Linked DNA regions of Coturnix japonica. The protein of the gene in region 4 interacts with the protein of the main gene of each other region in a biochemical or structural test. Links are inferred from orthologs where the notes say so. Each region holds a gene or a part of one and is shown on either strand. Other genes may lie near its edges.

Evidence for each region. The genes of interacting proteins can lie anywhere in the genome.
Region 1: the proteins of SORT1 (region 4) and LRPAP1 form a complex in vitro, tested with the Homo sapiens proteins (4 studies listed by BioGRID and IntAct, with this or other methods). The link is inferred for Coturnix japonica from reciprocal best matches to the Homo sapiens genes SORT1 and LRPAP1.
Region 2: the proteins of SORT1 (region 4) and SORCS1 form a complex in vitro, tested with the Homo sapiens proteins (2 studies listed by BioGRID and IntAct, with this or other methods). The link is inferred for Coturnix japonica from reciprocal best matches to the Homo sapiens genes SORT1 and SORCS1.
Region 3: the proteins of SORT1 (region 4) and NGF form a complex in vitro, tested with the Homo sapiens proteins (3 studies listed by BioGRID and IntAct, with this or other methods). The link is inferred for Coturnix japonica from reciprocal best matches to the Homo sapiens genes SORT1 and NGF.

The regions. Positions count from the first base shown.
Region 1 is NC_029519.1:74,331,177-74,335,151, reverse strand, and holds the end of LRPAP1 (alpha-2-macroglobulin receptor-associated protein), read right to left. Parts: intron 3,204-3,975; coding exon 3,045-3,203; intron 2,661-3,044; coding exon 2,578-2,660; intron 2,396-2,577; coding exon 2,219-2,395; intron 1,885-2,218; coding exon 1,819-1,884; 3' UTR 1,212-1,818; downstream 1-1,211. UniProt on the Homo sapiens protein: Molecular chaperone for LDL receptor-related proteins that may regulate their ligand binding activity along the secretory pathway.
Region 2 is NC_029521.1:22,108,693-22,113,460, forward strand, and holds part of SORCS1 (VPS10 domain-containing receptor SorCS1), read right to left. Parts: intron 4,512-4,768; exon of another isoform or gene 4,391-4,511; intron 2,801-4,390; coding exon 2,695-2,800; intron 2,538-2,694; coding exon 2,377-2,537; intron 1,033-2,376; coding exon 914-1,032; intron 1-913.
Region 3 is NC_029541.1:3,978,535-3,983,302, forward strand, and holds part of NGF (beta-nerve growth factor), read right to left. Parts: intron 4,111-4,768; 5' UTR 4,039-4,110; intron 3,346-4,038; 5' UTR 3,206-3,345; intron 863-3,205; 5' UTR 824-862; coding exon 674-823; intron 129-673; coding exon 1-128. UniProt on the Homo sapiens protein: Nerve growth factor is important for the development and maintenance of the sympathetic and sensory nervous systems.
Region 4 is NC_029541.1:1,571,813-1,576,892, forward strand, and holds the end of SORT1 (sortilin), read right to left. Parts: intron 4,331-5,080; coding exon 4,141-4,330; intron 3,494-4,140; coding exon 3,377-3,493; intron 3,290-3,376; coding exon 3,181-3,289; intron 3,098-3,180; coding exon 2,991-3,097; intron 2,238-2,990; coding exon 2,111-2,237; intron 2,027-2,110; coding exon 2,012-2,026; 3' UTR 1,021-2,011; downstream 1-1,020. Other genes in the region: copine-8-like, read left to right, coding at 367-876.

The DNA.
Region 1 (3,975 bases), on a different chromosome or scaffold from region 4:
CTTCAGCCTCTTCAGATCTCAAGAAAAGCAGCAAAGAGCCTTGGCAGGAATGGAAGATATTCCTAACGTTTTCTCTGTGCTGGTGCATTATCTGACTGCCAGTGTTCCAGGGATTCAGGAGGAAGCTGAATTTAGGAGGAGCAAATGATGCTGCTTAACATTTTCTCCTCCAGGTTTGTATGAACAACCTTTGTACCTAATGACTCATTAACGGCTGCGTTCAACAACTGAAGTGAAATGGCTGCACTAAAAACAGTCTTCCAACCTTTTTCAGTACTCATCTCTGACTTGTTCCTCATTTTAAATTACTGCAACCTGTAAATGTATGTTGTCAGTCTCTGAACTCAGAACTTTTACTGGAGCTTTCAGTTGCCTCTGGCTACAGTAGAAATAATTCTATAAATTCCATTCTCTGCAGAACTGTATCTCACTTAACTTTGCTTCAGACAAAACATAATATTCTTAATGAAATCCTGGAGCTGAAAATGTACATGTTGCTCAAATGCCATCTTTGGCACTACAGCTGCTAGAGGGAGATGTAGCACCATGAATGTGGCTATGCTCAAGTCTCTTATGCAACCAAAGGCAATTAGCTGTGGTGCTTAGGCTGAAGTGTAGGTCTGGAACATCACTGGCAACATCACTACAACCACAAGTGGTGCTTTCAGAATCAGAAAGGTACCAATATTCTCTCAATTCCCTGTAGGCATCTAAATCATATTATTTTAAAGAACTGTTACTGACTTACTGTTAATATTAATAGTGCTCTGCGTTTCAACTGATGAACAACGATTCTCTGAAATAAAAATAACAGCTTACATTCAAACAAAACCAGTAAGAAATTACTGCTGCAATGTAAGGCATTCAAAATCTCACAGTAGGACCGCTACCACTCTTTTCATTCAAATCACCTGTGCCTTATGAAATAGCCTATATGTGCAGAATTGTAATACTTTCAACCCAACATGGACTCAGGACCTGGATAAGTAATATACGCAGTGGCTGACTCTGACAAACTCTCTCTCTTTACTGGTTCTCACAGATGATTGATAGAGCTTTGCAACCAAGCAGCTGTAATGATTTACTGACACTGGACTTTTGCCTTAGTCTTGTTCCTGGCAGTTTCACAAGAAAAAGCCTTAGAAATAAAGGGTCAGCATGATAATCATAGAAAGTTTCAACCCAAGTGGGAAAGACAAAAAACACCTCAATGGTATCTTGTTTTGATTTTTAATGACTAAGTGTAACAAAACCAAACAACTATGAATTGCAAAATCGTACACATACGTTCAGTAACTTCAGATGCGTTAGTCTGTAAGTTTTGTGAATTGACCTCAATACTTATTCTTCCCTTATTCCTCCCCCTCCTCTCACATGAAAGATTCATATACAGTGCAGCTGAGTCAATGCTCAGCAAGTAAAAACATTTTAGTTACCTTCAGTAGAAAATGCATCAAACCAAACAGTGAAATATTAAACTTCTCTCATCTTTAACAACCTGTACCTCAGGTGTCTGCTTTCATTGATCAGAATTCCTTGACTAACTATAAGATCAATATTTTTACAAGCAGGAATCTTCTGACTGCTCACACTTCCTTGTGACGTGACTTATTTCAAAGGCTGTTACTTGATTCAGATTTATAGTGTAATCATTTAACATGATAATGCAAATACAAAACTAAGTGGACCACAGAAAGTTTTCTTACAGGACAACTCTTCAATCCTTAGAATTTTGGAAGGACTGCTTGGCTAATCCTGTTCATAAAATCCCTCTGTTATTTATGTTCATAAATTGATCCCATGAAGGAGAACAGATGTTTATAATTCATTGTGTTGAAGACCTTGAGAGATTCTGCTGGATAAGTCTTGCAAATGCTTCTTGACCTAGAAGAAAAAGGAAACAAATCAAACAAATATCAGTACAACGAATAATGCTAGAAGATTAAATCAGTCAATCTAATATACTTAGATTTTTGCTATTAGTATATGTGGCAGCTCTTGGGAAGAGCTGAGACTAGGAAATTTTCAGGCATTTTAGAATTAGGTCTGTAAAAACCAATCATGTCTATTCAGCATTAAACATGAAGCACAGGTTTGCCTTAACCTCCTCCTCTGGAAGATGTTTACCTGCATGAAAAATACCAGCACTAGGTAACTGACATTCCCTTAACTACTGAGTCTAATTCTCAACAGGTACGTACACTGAATTTATACAGACCTTATATCCGAGCTCTTTTGTCTTTTCTTCTAGCATGGCATATTTCTCTCTGTTTCTGTTCAGATGTTCCTTATCTCCAGTCCCCTCAATATGTTTTAGTTTCTCGTGTGAAATCTCTAATTGCTTCTGATAGTGATGATGTTTTTCAATTTTTGCTTCGAAGTGTTTCAGTTCCTCCTAGGACAATGCACATGAGTAGTTTCACATATGTATATATTTTAAACATTAAATAATGACCTTTTTATTTTTTTCTGATGCCTGAAAAGCAATACAGAATTGGCTGCCCTATGAGTAACACAGTATTTCTTTATGTGGAAAAATACCTTCCCCGTGGGAGATCTTACTGGAATTCTACTTACCCGAAAAGATTCCAGCTCTTTCTCAGTGAAATTGGCTGATTTTGCCATGTCCCACAAATCAATCACTCTTGGTTCTTCGAATTCTAAACAAACACAAATTACCAGATGAAGAAATGGACATAATGCTTTCATGCAAGATAAGCATGCCAAGCACACCAAGCAACATATTACTAACAGGTCTACTTAGATGAAAAGGGAGAAAAGTCCAAGTACTTCACTTAAAACAGCAGTATTGTAGCAAGCATTTATTTAAGAAACTTATTTAAAAGAAAAAAAAAAAAACCATCCCCAGAAACTAATTAATGCCCTGCACATTGCCTAACTTACCCGCCCCTGGTGCAGAGAGTCTAATATCCCTTCCCATGTTACATGAATTCACTGTGATTAAATGAATTAACTTGCTCACCAATTTTTACTTAATAAAATTGATACCAAATAGAGTTTAAAAAAATACCGGGGAGTCGTACCACTGGTTGCATCATATCCTTGGTGACTGACTTTACGTAAACGCTCAAACCCCTGGTTGATGCTTCTTAGCTTGTCTTTAAGCTCTCTGTGTTTGTTGTGCAAGACTTCCTCTTTCACCAGGTTCTCCTCAGATGGGTTGATTACATTTTTGTGAATATCTGTTGAAAGAGAAAAGCTATACTGACTGTGGGCCAAATCCCAATAGGTAAGAAGCCCCAGAAATCCCTCCAATCTGGGATGAATAAAATACAGTCAGTTCTTATTATCAGTAAAGCGCTGACATCATACTCTAAAAAGCAGTAACTCTTTTTGCACATTAATGCTCCTCAGTGCTCTGGAGGGCGGTGTTACAGAAAATGCCTTTTACCTCCTGCTGGTGATCAGCTGAAGTTTTAATAAGGGAATGTTCTAATTTCTGTGGTTAGCATTATCTCAAGGAAATTGAATAGGTATGGTGGGTAAATCCTATAACCCTCCCTCAGACATTTCATGAATTAGTCAGGACAGCCAATGTTGAAATAGCTTCCAACAGCTTCAGCTTGTACTCTACAATACAAACATCAAGCTGCCTGCAAGCTTCAGAGCAGTTTGATTCTAACAAAAACAGGATTAATAGAGCAAACTTAGGCTCAGAGCCTAAGATACATATCCTCTTGGGCTTCTACTGATGAAATGAAACATCCATGTCTTGCAGACTTTAAAACCACAATCTGCAGCAGTAAATCTGTGCCTGCTGCATAATTTCCAGTAAACTCCAACACGCCATTTCTAGTAATCTGATGGTGTCTTCACTGCTTGAAACACAAGCAAGAATTAGAAAACTGAAATGGCAACACTTTCATTAGCTGGCATGATTTTTAGCAGCTAATGTAGAATTAAACCAAGCAAGTATCTGGGAATATCAGCATCTGCAAGCTGTTCTAGCAGGAA
Region 2 (4,768 bases), on a different chromosome or scaffold from region 4:
TAAATGATCCAGGGACATTCATTTGCATTCCTCCAAGGAAAGGTCTCTGAATGTTAGTCAAAGGAGTTGGAAAAAAACCCAGCTTCTGAACAGGCATAGAAAAGAGAAACACCCAATTACAGTCTTGTTTGGTTTTCCCAAAAGGAGGAAAGCTCATTAAAAAAGGAGTTGCTGATTTACACAAACATGTGAAGTAGTTGTATACAAGTGGAAAGAGCCTTTCACTTTATTTTATTCACATCTACGTCCAGACCTTCCCATTTTGTCAATGATGATTTAGTTTCCACATTCATCTTACTGCCAGAATTGAAAAACAAGCTCCTAGGAAGTTTGTTGGAAGGATTTCTTTTGATAGAGAATTGAGACTATCTGTCCCTTTTGTGCTCACTCTTGTAGTTACAGGTGAAACTCAAGGATGAATAAAAGGCCAATTTCTGGTTCAATACAGCATCCAACAGTGCTGGGTACAGCTGAGAAATCCACAGAACGCTACCTATTGTAGAAAGCCAAAAATGCTGCAGTTGCACCAAATGAAAACCAAACCCCAAGTTGGCTTTTGACTTCTCTGATCCCAGAGGCTTCAAGAGATTAATTCCCATCACCAGCAACAGTAGAGCTAGCAGCTGGCTGACTGTTGTCTCTTCAGTCTGAGTGACCTCTGAAAACATTTGCTACTCTCTGCCAACAGTGGAAATCATGATCATTACATTCCTTTAGAAAGAGAAATCTCAAAGCTCAACTAACTCTGGGAACTGAGTTCCTGGCCTGAAATTGGGTGTTTCTCCCTTAGCAACTTAGACCAATTTTGGAGCTTCTAGGATATAAAGAGAAAGAAAAGAAAAAAAAAAAAAAAAAAAAAAAAAAAAAAAAAAAAAAAAAAAAGAAAGAGTAATTGTTAAAATTTAGGACCCACCGCTCCGGGTCTTGGCTTGAAACCTCTTGGTGATCCACAAGCCTTTTGGAAGTCCTCTGTCCAGACTACCTTGGCTGCATTTCCTTTCCTTGGGTTCTGGACTGTGGCCTGGGGTTGCTCTGTATGGGGAACACCACATGGGAAGGTTGGTTCCCTCACTCCATCCTGTGTACTGCTAAGCAGGGATATCCAGGTCTGTTGATGGATAGTTGCTAAAAAGCTTTTAATAACTACCAGATCTCCCCTTGGTGAATGTGTGATAAGAGATCACTACTGACTGCACTGCACTGGAGCTTCCAGTTTAGACACTGATTTCATCAAGAGATTTTCTTCTTTTTCCTCCCAGGATGTTTCACAGGCCACAATCTTAGTACTTCATATTTCCTCTTTTATTTGCCCTTCCCTTTGCTCTCTCTCTGTGGTATCTAAGACATCAAATCTGCTTTAGCAAACTCCCACACAATTTAGGGACTTCCTCGGGTGGGATCTAACACTTAGTTAAGCTGATGAAATTGTGAAAATAAAGGATCATAGTTATGACTATGCATCAAATCTGAATCAGAAGAACTGTTTATTTTATGAGTAATACCTGTAAAGCATATCTGTGTTCTTATTTGCTGGAGTCCAGCACTGTTCCTGTGGTCTGGGCCTGCAGAGCTTTCCCCTTACAAACAAAGCTGAAGAATACCCAAGTAATCCCTAAGTAATGTTTGCTTTAGAAGAACATGCCCCCAGACTGAAACCTCCCTGCTTTGTCCCAATGCTTTTACTTTATTTGGGGTGATGTGATAACATAAGCATGAGCAAATGGGTGACTGAACCCAGTATGGTCACCTCAATGCTGTTCAGTTTAAATCCTAATGTTATTTTTTCAACCAGTCATGTGGGAGCAATCAGCCTAAGGGCAAACCCAGCAGCCCAGTGTTGAGATCCCAGGTTTTGCTCTATTTCCCTGTGAATCAGTCAGGATAGCACTGCTGCTGGCAGTGAGGTCTGGCACACCACGAAGGACACAGCAGTGAAAACACAAATGAATATTTAACTTTTAGATTTGACTTACCGAATCACCTGCTCACCTCCATGCTCCAGGTGAGGGTGGCTGAAGTTCTCCTGGACAGGACTCAGGTGTGAGGTGTAGCCCCATAACAACATCAGCCCCAGCAAAATAAATTAAATTGCCTTATAGCGCAAGTTAAGTGCAGCAGGGTTTTTGAGAAGGGAAGAGGATCTACACAGAGCAACTAGGAGAAGGGAAAAGCCTGAAGTTCTTTCTCTCCCTTTCACCACAGGGCAGTGAGGGAGAGGGGAGAGTTAGCAAGGTTTCCTGTAGCAAAACTAATACTGCAGCAGAAGAGGATGGCAGGAGGAGTGTGCAGGGAGATGGGAAAGGGGAAGACTGAGAAAAGGGTTAGCCAATTATAAGTCAGAGTCTGACCAACTGCGGGTTGCTGCAAGTTATTTACCTATGGGCTGGACATCCAACTTCTCATCTACTAGTTGCTCAGGGCTCATCAGCTCACTTTGAGGGACATTAGGTATGTTTTCCCTCTGACTGACTGGACTGACCATCTCTTGATCTTTTTCATTCTGCATCTGTGCATATATATTAAGGCCAGGAATCTTCCTAAAACATTAACAGAAACCATCATTGGGGGGTACTCTGGCAGGTGATGTAGCATTAGCTTTTGCAAACCAAGAAACAAATCACTGTGAAAAGGAAAGCCCAGCAAACAAATCCCCGGCAGCAGTGGGGGAAGGAAATGGCCCAGGGAAGGTCATACCTTTTGAATTTGTAGATTACAAACACGGCTAGTCCCACGAAAACGACAGAGAGGAGCATCAGCATTGCTGAACCACTGTGACTGGGAGTGAGGTCCACCAGGGGAGCTGCAAGAGAGGGAGGGAAGGTTAGAGTCACCTTCAGCCTAGAGGGAGAAGTTCTCTCTCCAAATATGTACTTAATTCTCTTGTATGGTATTTATAACAGTCTCATCTGTCCACCTGTCTTCAGGGCTTCTCTCTCTTTCTAATACAGCTGGGAAGAAACCTGGGTTCAGACTAGCTGTGCTGCTCAGCCTAAGCCCTGAAGGCACCATAGCTTTCTCTTTAGAGGCCTCTCCTCTCTGGCACTTTACAGAATAAAGTGTGAAAAATACCCTATTATGTTGCAGGCAACTACTGAAGGTAGTTGCAAATGAGGTCACTTGAGTACTAAACCCAGACTTTCTGAAGGATCCTGGAGCTACCCATGGGCTACCTTGTCATGCTGACTTCCTGTTTTGCCTGGAGCTAGTCTGGGTAGCTCTCAATACCTGCTGAATAATGAGCAACTGGATACTGGATTTTACTGAAGCAACAGTGTCCTGATACCAAATGTACTGCTCTCTGCTCAATCCTCTTTCTTCACAATCAGAAGTTTGGTGCCCTTCACAGACATTGCCTCAGCATCCATGCCTTACCATGGCAAGCTCTTCTCACACCTCTGACATCTTCAGTTTCTCTATCTATCCCTTTCCTACTCCTCTGAACACTTCTCTCTCCCCCATGCCCTGTTCTCTCTCCCACAAGCCATCTCTGCAAGGAAGTGCAAAGGTTCAAGAAAAAGAAATAAGAGAAAATAAAAAATCTTAGTCAAACAAGAAGTCTCCCGGTGCTTCTCTTTAGAGTTTTGCAGCACATTTTCATAGCCCTTTGCAAAATAAGGCCACACAAAACATCCAGAAGCGTGCATTCCCAGAAATACAAAGTAAACAATATTAAATAGAGGCAGTATTTATCACTCAAATAACGCAAACAGAAGGACTCTGGCAGCAGTGTCGCACATATGCGTACTTTCAGCAATCACACCCAGCCTATGAACCAGATTTTATCAGGAGAAGCGGAAAAACTTCCCACATCCCTCAGGCTGTGCTTAAGAAGCTGAGACATCTATTGCTATGAATCCTTCATAGATCTGAACTGTGTGTGTTTGTACTGTGTGGCTCTCTGCAGTTCTGTGGGATGGTGAAGTGGCGCTCTGACTGATTCCAGCATCACTCAATGCTCTTGTTCTAATGCTGTACTCAGAACCTTGCCACAAACAGCTATTTAACTGCTTTCTGAGGAATGCTGGCATATTTTGTTCTGCCTTAGAACAGAGGTAGTTGTTCGCTGGGTTGGGGACATTGTTTTAATTCTTTTTCATGAGAAGCAGAAATGAACATGATGAATGGATTGCAATCTGTTGTGCAGAATTGCCATTAATTAATCCTTCCTCCAGTGTGGCCTGAACAGAAAACACAGGGGCATGAAATGCGCTGAGCCCAACACCTGTCATTCTTCTGTGTCCTGGGGAACGCATGTGTTTAACTACAACATGCACAAAGAGGCTCGTTTCTGCACATTCTGCACGAATGTCCACACCAAATTAATTTAAATACCTGCACTTATGTTCTCTGTAGCTTCTCTGATGCTGAGATTTCTGCTTTGCGTGACCAGGTGCACTCACAAGGAGCAACATGTGTGCACCGAGGCATGGGAATGGATTTACATACATGTTTGTCCAGACAATGCTCTCTACAGTCTACTTCTGGCCCTGCCTTAAGTGAACCACTTCCAGGTATCTCTGCTTTGTCTTACTCTTTTTTTTTTTTTTTTTAAAAGCTTGAATTTGAAAAGCAGGATTCTTCTTCCTCGACAATGGAAATGAGAGCTTTCAGCAGCAAAATAAATCTCTCTTATGGCATTTTGTCAAATTCTAAACTATTTCCCAGTTTTGATATCACAAAAGTGGGCTTTTTCTTTAGTCAGGAAGTTGAACCATGACACCAGCAACGTGATAAAGGACAATATTCCCTCAAAGACATCACAGTAGCT
Region 3 (4,768 bases), about 2.4 Mb from region 4:
GTAGGGGGTAAGGAGTGTTCTGCAGGATACTCCAGTGGACCATTGTCCTCTGACTTTGGAGCTGCCTGTGTGCCGATCAAAAAAGCTATAATCAGAGTGTAGTACAGCATGGACATAACGCTATGCACCTAGAACAAAAGAGAAATGCAGTATTACTGTAAGCCACGCTGGCAGAAACAGATGGCGTTTGCTGGCAATAAATGTGTAAGATACCCAGGACCATACAGATTTCATCAGGATCTCATGTGGGTACCAGATGTTGATCTTCCAGAAGAGCTCATTCAGACAGTATAAAAGTTGTTCATAAAGTGAGAACATTAGAAAATAATAGCTAGATTATTATTAATTCCTCTGGTATTTGTTATTAGAACACTATGAAGCACTTGTTTGGTATTATTAATGCGGAGACCATATGGCGACAGCATGTTCCCAGGAGTAAAATCTCTGGTGATTTTTGCAATAACCTTTTTGGCCAGCACTGGTCTTTTGGCTGCAAATACCCTGCAGAGGAGCAAGTGTAGAAATAGGACCTTGGTTAAAATAGCTCTCTGTTTAGTTCATCTGTCTGCAAGGCTGTCCTTTGGGTGAGGGTGGGGACCACCAAGCTGGTATTTGTGGAAGTGGGGGAACCCCCTGAATCCAGCCATTAGCACACACTCCCAGCCACACTTACCTGCCATGTGAACAGGCCCCAGCACTCTGGCTGGCTCAGCAGCCTCCAGCAGCCTCCATCTATCCCACCTGCCCTTTCGGGACGCACCACATTGCTGATTTGGGGCAGATAAAGCCCACGCTCCTTCCCAGAAGAGCTCAGACATCTCATGTCACAAGGGCAGATGGGATTTGTCCAAGTTCAGGCTGCCTATTAGGACAAATATGGGTATTACATAGGAGCACCATGGGTGACAGGCTATTTCTGGTTGGTATCTAAGGTAGAGCATAGCTAAAACCATTATGGTCACAGTACTGGGCACAGAGGAACACACCGTCCTCTTCTCAGTGCCACGAGCAAGAAGTTGCACAAATGTCCCTGTATAGCAGACCCAAAGTGAGTGCTAGTATTCCTGTAGCCTGGAGAATGTGCACATCTGTTTGGGTGTGGAAAAATGTGGGACAAATATCTAAAATATCTCTAAGAACAATATTATGCTGGAACACCAGCAGCAGTAATACTTTATTAGGTAACTGCCATGTGTTGACTAAATCAGCCATATGCTAGGGAACAAATCATCAGCAGAGGCACTGAAAACACCATCTGAGATTGCAGCGAAGGGCTGGCATTGTGTTCCTCTGTGAAGAACCATTAGGTACAGACAGGATGTAAACAGGAAAAAAATAATAATAAATAAAACCCTATCAATACAGGCTCCTCCCTTGTCTTGGTGCTCTGTTTGCATGACATGCCTCAGCTGGCCCTGAATTGCAGCGTCCAGCCAGCAGGCAGCCTCACACCCACTGGACAAACAGGGCTTTTCAAGAAGAAGAATCAGGCTCTGCAATTCCACTGTGATTTCCCAGCATGTCCTGATGTTTTTCTGGGTTTGGGTCAGTCACTGTTGACTTCAGTCACTGACTTCACCCCTTCCTGCTCAGCTTTCTCTAAGCAAAGTTTGAAGCAGCACTAAAGCTTTGTCTTTACTAGGATGCACTGTAGAAAATGCAGAGCCCTGATATGTACCACAGTCCTGTGTGGGTACTTCTTATCTCAATGAAATAAACAGCTGTGGCTGTATTTGTGCGCAGGGCTTAAGAAACCAGCAGGACAAGCCAAATAGACTAAAGAGATGCTACAAGTCTCTGCATCATGGGGATGATATTCTTCCTTTGGACTGGAAGAATTAGGGATGATAGAATGGTTAGGAGTCCAATGCCTCTCACAGAGGAAGTCCTTACTGTTCCAGCTACTTTAATTTACATAAAAGAAGGCTGTGGGTCGCTGCTTGCTCACATGCTGCTCCTACTTGAGCAGCCATCATCATCTGCACAAGGAAATAGAACTAGGTGTAGCTCAATAGCTTGGCTATGCACAATTCAAAGAGTAACCCCTCGTTCAGCAGCCAAATTGAAATCAGATGGGTCACTGCATCTCTAAAAAGTTCGCTTTTCCAACAGAAATGTTAATGGAAAAGGTTTGCAGAACAAACTCCAGGCGCAATTCAGACATGCCAGAACAGCCTCAGCCTATCGTGTTTATGCATAATACCCGTTATTATTATCCCCTTGTATAGAATGGAGGCATAGCAATGCCAGCAAAGAGCTCTGTCCTGATTTTCTGCCATACTTTTTTTCTCTGAGCTTCTTAGGTTGCATATTTTACATCTTTCTTTGTATTTCCTGTCCTTCTGGCAAAGCATTCTATGGGATCGTGGCCCAGACGCAAGCAAATGTATCTGGGATATGTGGTATTTTCCTGAAGATTCCAAACTGAATCTTTTATTATTACATTAGTAGAAAATAATTAAGAAAACAGCTTCAAAAAGTGGATTAGTCTCACTGACAATGCCAGCAGAAGAATTAACATTTTAGGGCATGCCTTAAGACTGTTGGGACTGTGACTCTTGCTGATGTGGAGGTATTTTACAGGCTGTTTTAGGGAGTTGTTTCTAACTTCATTCTGTATTTACCTACTGGACTCCTCCATGGTGCTCTTTGCAAAGTGTTCACAGTTCCCACCCAGTGCAGCCACCTGAGCTTCCATGGAGATGCACATCAGTACCAGTGCTGGCACTGCAGCCTTTGTGATGTGGGCTATGACTGTTACCACAATCCTTTCAATACCACAAACACAACCGCTGTACGAAAGCGGAGGATATTTAATGAGCCCTGTGACTTCTAACTCAATTATCTCTCATTGTAAGAAATCATTTTCCACAAAGGGCCTGTCTGGAGGCAGAATATGGGAAGGGGTACGTGGGAGCTCCCCTATTGGCCAAACAATAGCTAGCTAGAAGATAACAGTGATGCAGCTTATTTAATATGTCAAAGAATTAAGCATTTCCAAAAAATAAGAGTATTAAATGCAACCTGCCCTTATCTTCTCTTTTCAGAAGACAGATCAATTGCTTTTTAATCCTTCCCTCATTTGTTCATCAGATCTCTTGCTACCTGCTCTCATACAAACTCTTCCCCTGGTAAAGATGTTTGGACTGCTGTGTGATGCTGGTAATTCAAGGTTTCATGGTTCCTCTATGTGTTCTGTCCTTACCTCTGAGTATATTGCACAAAAAGCTGCTCCTGAGGAAGGTCTTTATTTCATCCAGATGCTGAGCTGGGGTTGGCTGCAGCATGCCATCGGGCCACGTTGGCTGCGTAGTTCAGTCTGGGAGTTGCTTACTCAGTGTTCAGCTAGAATTAAAAGTATGTTTCAGTAAATAGCCAGCAAATACATGATTTCAGTACCCTTCCCTACTGCATTGCAGGAGTACAGGGACAAATCCACTCTCAACTCTCTGAGCTGTGCCTTTTTCACTGGTAATTGTCTAAAGTGCCAATCTTGTCTTTCACAAGCAGCATGACTGTAAGACAAGATACCTTATTCAGCTCCTTTACAAGACCCTTCTTAATTATCCACTGTCCCCAATCCCTCTCAGGCATCTTACAGGCTCACTGTAAGCAGGAGTAATGCAGCATAAACAAAGCAATACTTGCTAATGTAGCTCAGTTTGCATAACAGGTATGGACAAATGAGTATTCAAACCTCCCATCTTCATCTTGAAGGCAATTCTGGTTACAAGTGATGAGACCGCATGTTGTCAGTAATCACTCAAAACCAGAGACAAAACCACTGGATGGTTTAGGTTGGAAGGCACCTCCAGAGGCCATCTCATAGAATGGCTTGGGTTGGAAGGGGCCCCAGGGATCACTGAGTTCCAAATCCCCACCACATGCAGGGCCACCAACCTCCATATCTGTCACCAGCCCAGGGCCCATCCAACCTGGCCCTGAACACCTCCAGGGCAGCTGGACAGACCTCATTGCCCTCTATGAAGAACTTCCCCAGTATCCAATCTAATCCTTCCCTCCATCTGATCAACCCACCTGCTCAAGTAGAGCCACCTGAAGCAGGTCTGCCAGGACCACACAGGCATTTATAATATCTACAGGATAGTTCTGATGGAAAGAAATAAAGAGTGCATATGAGACATCACACAGGATATCCAGTTCTCATAAATCTGAGACCTCCCAAGCTCGTGTGATGTGCTCATTGCATTGCTTTGTGTAGCAATGTATGCTACGTCTTTTGGAATAACATACTAATAAAGCAATAACCCTTTCAGTGTACTCTGTTAGTTCGGTAATGGTAGATCTAAAATAGTGACCACTGCCAAAAATAATCCAGCAGCTTTTCCTACTGTTCTGCCACCCTAAGAAAACACAGCTTCAGCTCCAACTGGCTGGTTATTTAACCACAAAAGAGTTTATTTTCAGAAGGTTGTGTTTTTTTTAAGTTCTTTTGCTGTCTTCTTCCCGGATTGCCAGCTGTGGCAGAATCCAGTAAATCAGGCAGTGTTATTCAAATGATGCTGAAGACAGCATCTATACACCATCCCTCTGTACCTACCCGTCCCAAAGATGAATATAATATCCCACTAATGTCTTGCTTCAGAATTTACATACATTCAAGGTTACACAATTAAAGAAAACACTTCATTCCTACTCCTTAGTCTCTGCTCTGAGTTGATGAGCAAGAAAATGGGAATTTTTAATGAATTCGAGACTTAATTCCTCTATTACATCTACAGTGACTCATCCTGTAACTAAGAGGTTT
Region 4 (5,080 bases):
CCCCAGCCCTATACATTGCTATAGGGTGCCCACCCCCCCTACATCCCCCTCCCCAGACCCCTCCACTGCTGATCCCAGTGTTGCAATGAGGGGGTGGGTGGGATGGGGGTGTTCTGGGATATGGGGTGCAGTGGGGCTGGGAGTGGTACAGTGGGATGGGGGGGTACTGGTACTAGGGGAGACATGGAGGGGTGCTGGGGAAGGAGGGGATGATGGCCTGGAGCTGCAGTGGGATGTGGGGTAATGCAGGACACTGTGGGGTGGGCACTGAGATATGGGGATGCAGTAGGACGGGGGGATGCTCCAGGCCATGGGGACACACGGGGCTGTACCCAAACCCCCCATCCTCTGCCCTCCCCCCCCCAGTTTGTCCCATTCCGTGACTACACGGACCGGGGGGGCAGCCAGGTGCTGAGCATGGCCCGCCTGGCCAAGGATGTGCTGGCTGAGATCCCCGAGCAGTTCATCTCCTACATGAAGGCTCACGGCATCAAACCACAGCCTGCACCCCCCAGCCCCGAACCCCCCGGGACCCCCCCACCCTCCCAACCCCCCGGGGCCACCTGGGGACACGCAGGTACCGACCTCTGCCCTGAGGTTATGGGTAAATCTCAGCCACTCACTGCCAGCCCCCCCCCCCCACCAATGGGAATAGGGGTTTTGGGTGGGGGGGGGACACTTCCCACCCCCTGTGTTGTCCTGTCCTGTCCCCAGGACCCCCCATGTCTCTCCTCCATCCCCTGGTTGTGCTGCCCCTTTGCAGCAAGGAGTTGGGGGGGGGGAAGGGGGTGGTCCTGGGCATCCCCCCCCCCCCAGTTATTTTTCTACGTGCATGGCTGTCGTGTGCCCACGGTGCGTTGCCTTAATCTGCAATAAATGATGGGATTTTTAATCCCCCCTCCCCTCCCAAGCCCATCAAACATCATTGGGTGCCCCCCCCCCCCCCCCCCCCCCCCCCCCCCCCCCCCCCCCAAAAAACCCTTGGGGCCCCCCCCCCCCCCCCCCATAGAACCGCTCACACAGGGTCTGTTTTGCCTTTATTATTACTAAGAACCCAAAATATTGCAAATATACAGAAAAATGCCGGTATAAAGTTATCACACATCCGGGTTTATTTACAGAGCTCTACATGCCCCCCCTCCCCTCCCACCCCCCCCCCAACCACCCAGCTCTGAGTTGGGGGGGGGGGGGTCCGGGGGGGGGTCCTATGGCATCTCCCTATGGAGGGGGCATGCGCCGGCCCCACTGCGGTGCTGCAGAAGCGCATGCAAGCAGCCCCCCCCCTCCACACACCCCATTGATACCATGGGGTTGGGGGGGGGGGCACCAATCTTGCCACCCCCCCCCATCCCATGGAAGGGGATTTCCAGTGTAAGGAGACAGTGACAGTGCTGGGACTGAAACCTGGCGGGGTGAAAGCAGAGCTGGGGAGGGGGGGGGGGCAAAGGGGGGGGACAGGGACCAACACCCCCCCCAGCCCCTCGTTAAAAAGCTTCAAGCCTGAATTCATTATTGCTACGTTTCCCTCGGCCAAGGGCAGCCCCGGGGGGGGGATAAGGCTGGGAGGACCCCCCCCACACACACAGCAGTGTATATTGCTTTGGAGAATGGGGGGAGCCCCCACCCCCTGCATCCCATGTGCTGCTGCTTGGGGGTCCCCATGTTGGGGTGGGGAGCGGGGGGCACCCCAAGGGTGCTGCAGGCTGGGGGGGGGCACAGCCCTGCAGCCTGGGGGCACCAAGGGGAAAAGACCAACAAAAACCAAGACAAAAACCCCATAAAAATACCAAATACCCCCCTCCAAAAAGGGACCCCCCCTGCCCACTCCCCCCAAAAGAAAGAACAAAACCAAGGGAAAAAAGAAGATGAAATAAAAGCAAACTGACCCCCCCCCCCAGCTGCAAAGAGCCCCTGGGGTGAGCTGATGCCATGCTGCTGTGTGCCCCCCCCAGCACAGCCCCCCCAGCCCTGCCTGCCCCACAGTGCAGCTCCTGCCGTCCCAGCGTTGCTGCTACTCCAACAGGTCCTGGGGGGGGAAGAGGGGAGTGTCACTGCGGGGATCCCAGCCCGGGGGGGTCCTCATGGTGTGTATATGTGGGGGGGGGCTCACCTCATCCGAGTCATCGTGGTACCCCCCCCCTTTGTAGGGTGGTGAGGGGGGATCTGCTGCCTCCAACCCCTCGGTGCCGCTGGCCTCAGCGTGCTGCCGCAGCACGGAGTAACGATGGACCAGGAACCTGAGGGGGGGGACAGAGATGTGGGGTCACCATAAGGCCATACAGAGCAACCAGGCACTACCAGGAGCCCATAATGTCATGGGGATCCCATAGTGAGTGTGGGAAGCTGGCAGGACCCCCTCCCCAGCCATGGGTAGGTCAGGTCCCACAAAGTCCATGGGGACACACAAGCCAGGAGGGATTATAAGGCCATGGGGACCCCAAACCCATGGGGGACCCCCTGTAAATGACAGGGATGCCCCCTAGCAACAGGGACCCCATAAAGCTATGGAGACCTCACAGACCCACAAGGATCCCTCCCAGCCATAGATCCCTCCATAAAGCTTCCAAGACCCCAGAGCCAGAGGAACCCCAAGAGCCACAGGGAACCCAAAGCCATGGAGACCCCAAGGAGACCCCATAATAAAGTCACAGAGACCCCATGGGGATCACAGGTATCCCCAGCCATAGGGACCCCAATGCAATGGAAATCATATAGAGACAGAGGAACCCATAGGGACCACAAAGCCATGGGGACCCCCCAAGTCATATAGACCCCTCAAAGCCAGGGGGACCCCTCTGCCATGTAAAGACCCCTTTGGGACCCACAAAGCCCCCCAGTCATAGGAGTCATAAAGCCATGGGGACCCCATGGGGACCACAAGGACTCTCCAACCACAAGGATCCCACAAAGCCATAGGGGGCCCCCAGGCCACTGGGACCCTACAAACCCCTATAGACCCCACAGAGCCAAAGCTCCCAGCTGGGACCCACCTCCCACCACAGACGTATTTCTTGATGAGCAGCACAGCAGCCACAGCACTAACGAGCAGCACGGCCACCACGGCCAGCACGATGGGTGTGGGGCTGGGGGCCACCGCCTGCAGGGACAGCACAGCGTCACCCCATTGGGGTCAGCACACCCCATAGCCACCTTGATGTGGGGTTGTGGGGTGGCACCCACCAGCTGCCCAGGGCTCAGCAGAGTGCTGGTGCATTTCTTCTTCATGTCTGTCTCCTCCCTGCTGGGGCTCTCACCTCCACTGCATTTGTCCCCTGGAATCTTGCGGTACCTGGATTGAAATAGGGTGGGGGGGTTGATGTGCTGTGAGCCCCAGGACCCCCCCGTACCCCATGGAGGTGTAGGATTGGGGCCGTACCCGCTGGTGCGCAGCAGCTCCCGGCGGCCATAGAGGCAGAACTCCAAGTCGTGGCCCTTCAGCTCGGGCTGCTCCACACACACAGACTGGTTCTCAGGGCGGTAATACCCAAAATCACTGCGGGATTTGGGGCAGAGGGTTCAGCACCCCCCCAATGGTGTGACCCCATTGGGGCTGGCAGGATAAAGCAGGGAATGTGGGGGAGTGGGATCAGGTACAGTGATATGATGGCACTGGGATGAGGGGGGAGGGATGTGGTGGCACTGGGGTCATGCACAGGGACAGGGTGGCACTGGGATGGGGTGGGCAGGGAGATGGTGGCACTGGGATGGCAATGGGATCATGCACAGGGAGAGGGGGGCACTGGGATGAGGTGGGAGAGATGTGGTGGCACCAGGGTGACACTGCCATTGCAATGGGATCATGCACAGGGACAGGGTGGCACCAGGATGGCATTGGGATGAGGTGGACAGGGATGAGGTGGGCAGGAATGTGGTGGCATTGGGGTGACACTGCCATTGCACTGGGATCATCCACAGGGACAAGGTGGCACCGGGGTGGCACTGGGATGAGGGAGGCAGGGATGTGGTGGCACTGGGGTGGCATTGGGATCACACACAGGGACAGGGTGGCACTGGGATGAGGTGGGAGGGATGCTGTGGCACTGGGATGGGGTGGGCAGGGATATGTTGGCACTGGGATCACACACAGGGACATGGGGGCACTGGGATGGCTGCGGGGCGATGGGGGCAGCGCTGCGGTACCAGAGGAAGTCGTGCAGGGTGCAGGGGCACACAGAGGGCTGCGCTGTCACGGCGTAGTCGCGGCCGTTCTGGCAGACCGAGGACTTGCGCAGCCGGCGGAACTGCTCCTTGTAGCCCAGGATGCAGCCGTCCGACGGGTCGCGGGGGTCGCTGGAGTGCGCCAGCCAGATGGTGTAATCCTCATCCTCACCTGCAGGCAACGGGATCAGCGGGTCCCTGCTCACCCCCCTCCCATCTCCATCCCCATTTTCCCCCATTTCCATCCCCACTCCTCCCCGTCCCTGTGTCCCTTGTTCCCCTCCATCCATCCCTGGCTTCATCTCTATCCTGCCCCAAACCCATCTCTACTTTCCCCCCATTGATCCCTACCTCCATCCATATTCCCCTCCATTTTCATCCCCACTCGCCCTGATTTCTGTTCCTATTCCCCCATTTCCCCTCCATCCCTATACCTGTCCCTTCTCCCCCCTCTATCTATCCCTATCTCCATCCCTATTTTCCCTGCCCTGCACACTTCCATCCCTATTTTCCCACCCCTGACCTCCATTCCAATTCCCCTTCTATACCTACCTTTATTCCCACCCACATCAACCCCCATTTCCATCTCTATTCCCCCCTCTATCTATCCCTATTCCTCCTCCATCCCCCTCATCTCCATCCCCATTCCCCCTTGTACCAATCCCTACTCCCTCCTTCATCCCCATATCCATCCCCATTCTCCCCTATTCCCATCCCTATATCCATCCCTATTCTCCCCTATTCCCATCCCCATATATCCATCCCTATTCTCCCCTATTCCCATCTCCATCACCATCCCTATTCTCCCCTATTCCCATCCCTATATCCATCCCTATTATCCCCTATTCCCTTCTCTATATCCATCCCTATTCCCCCGCCCCTTCCATTCCCATATCTCCCCCATCCCCACCCCCATTTCACC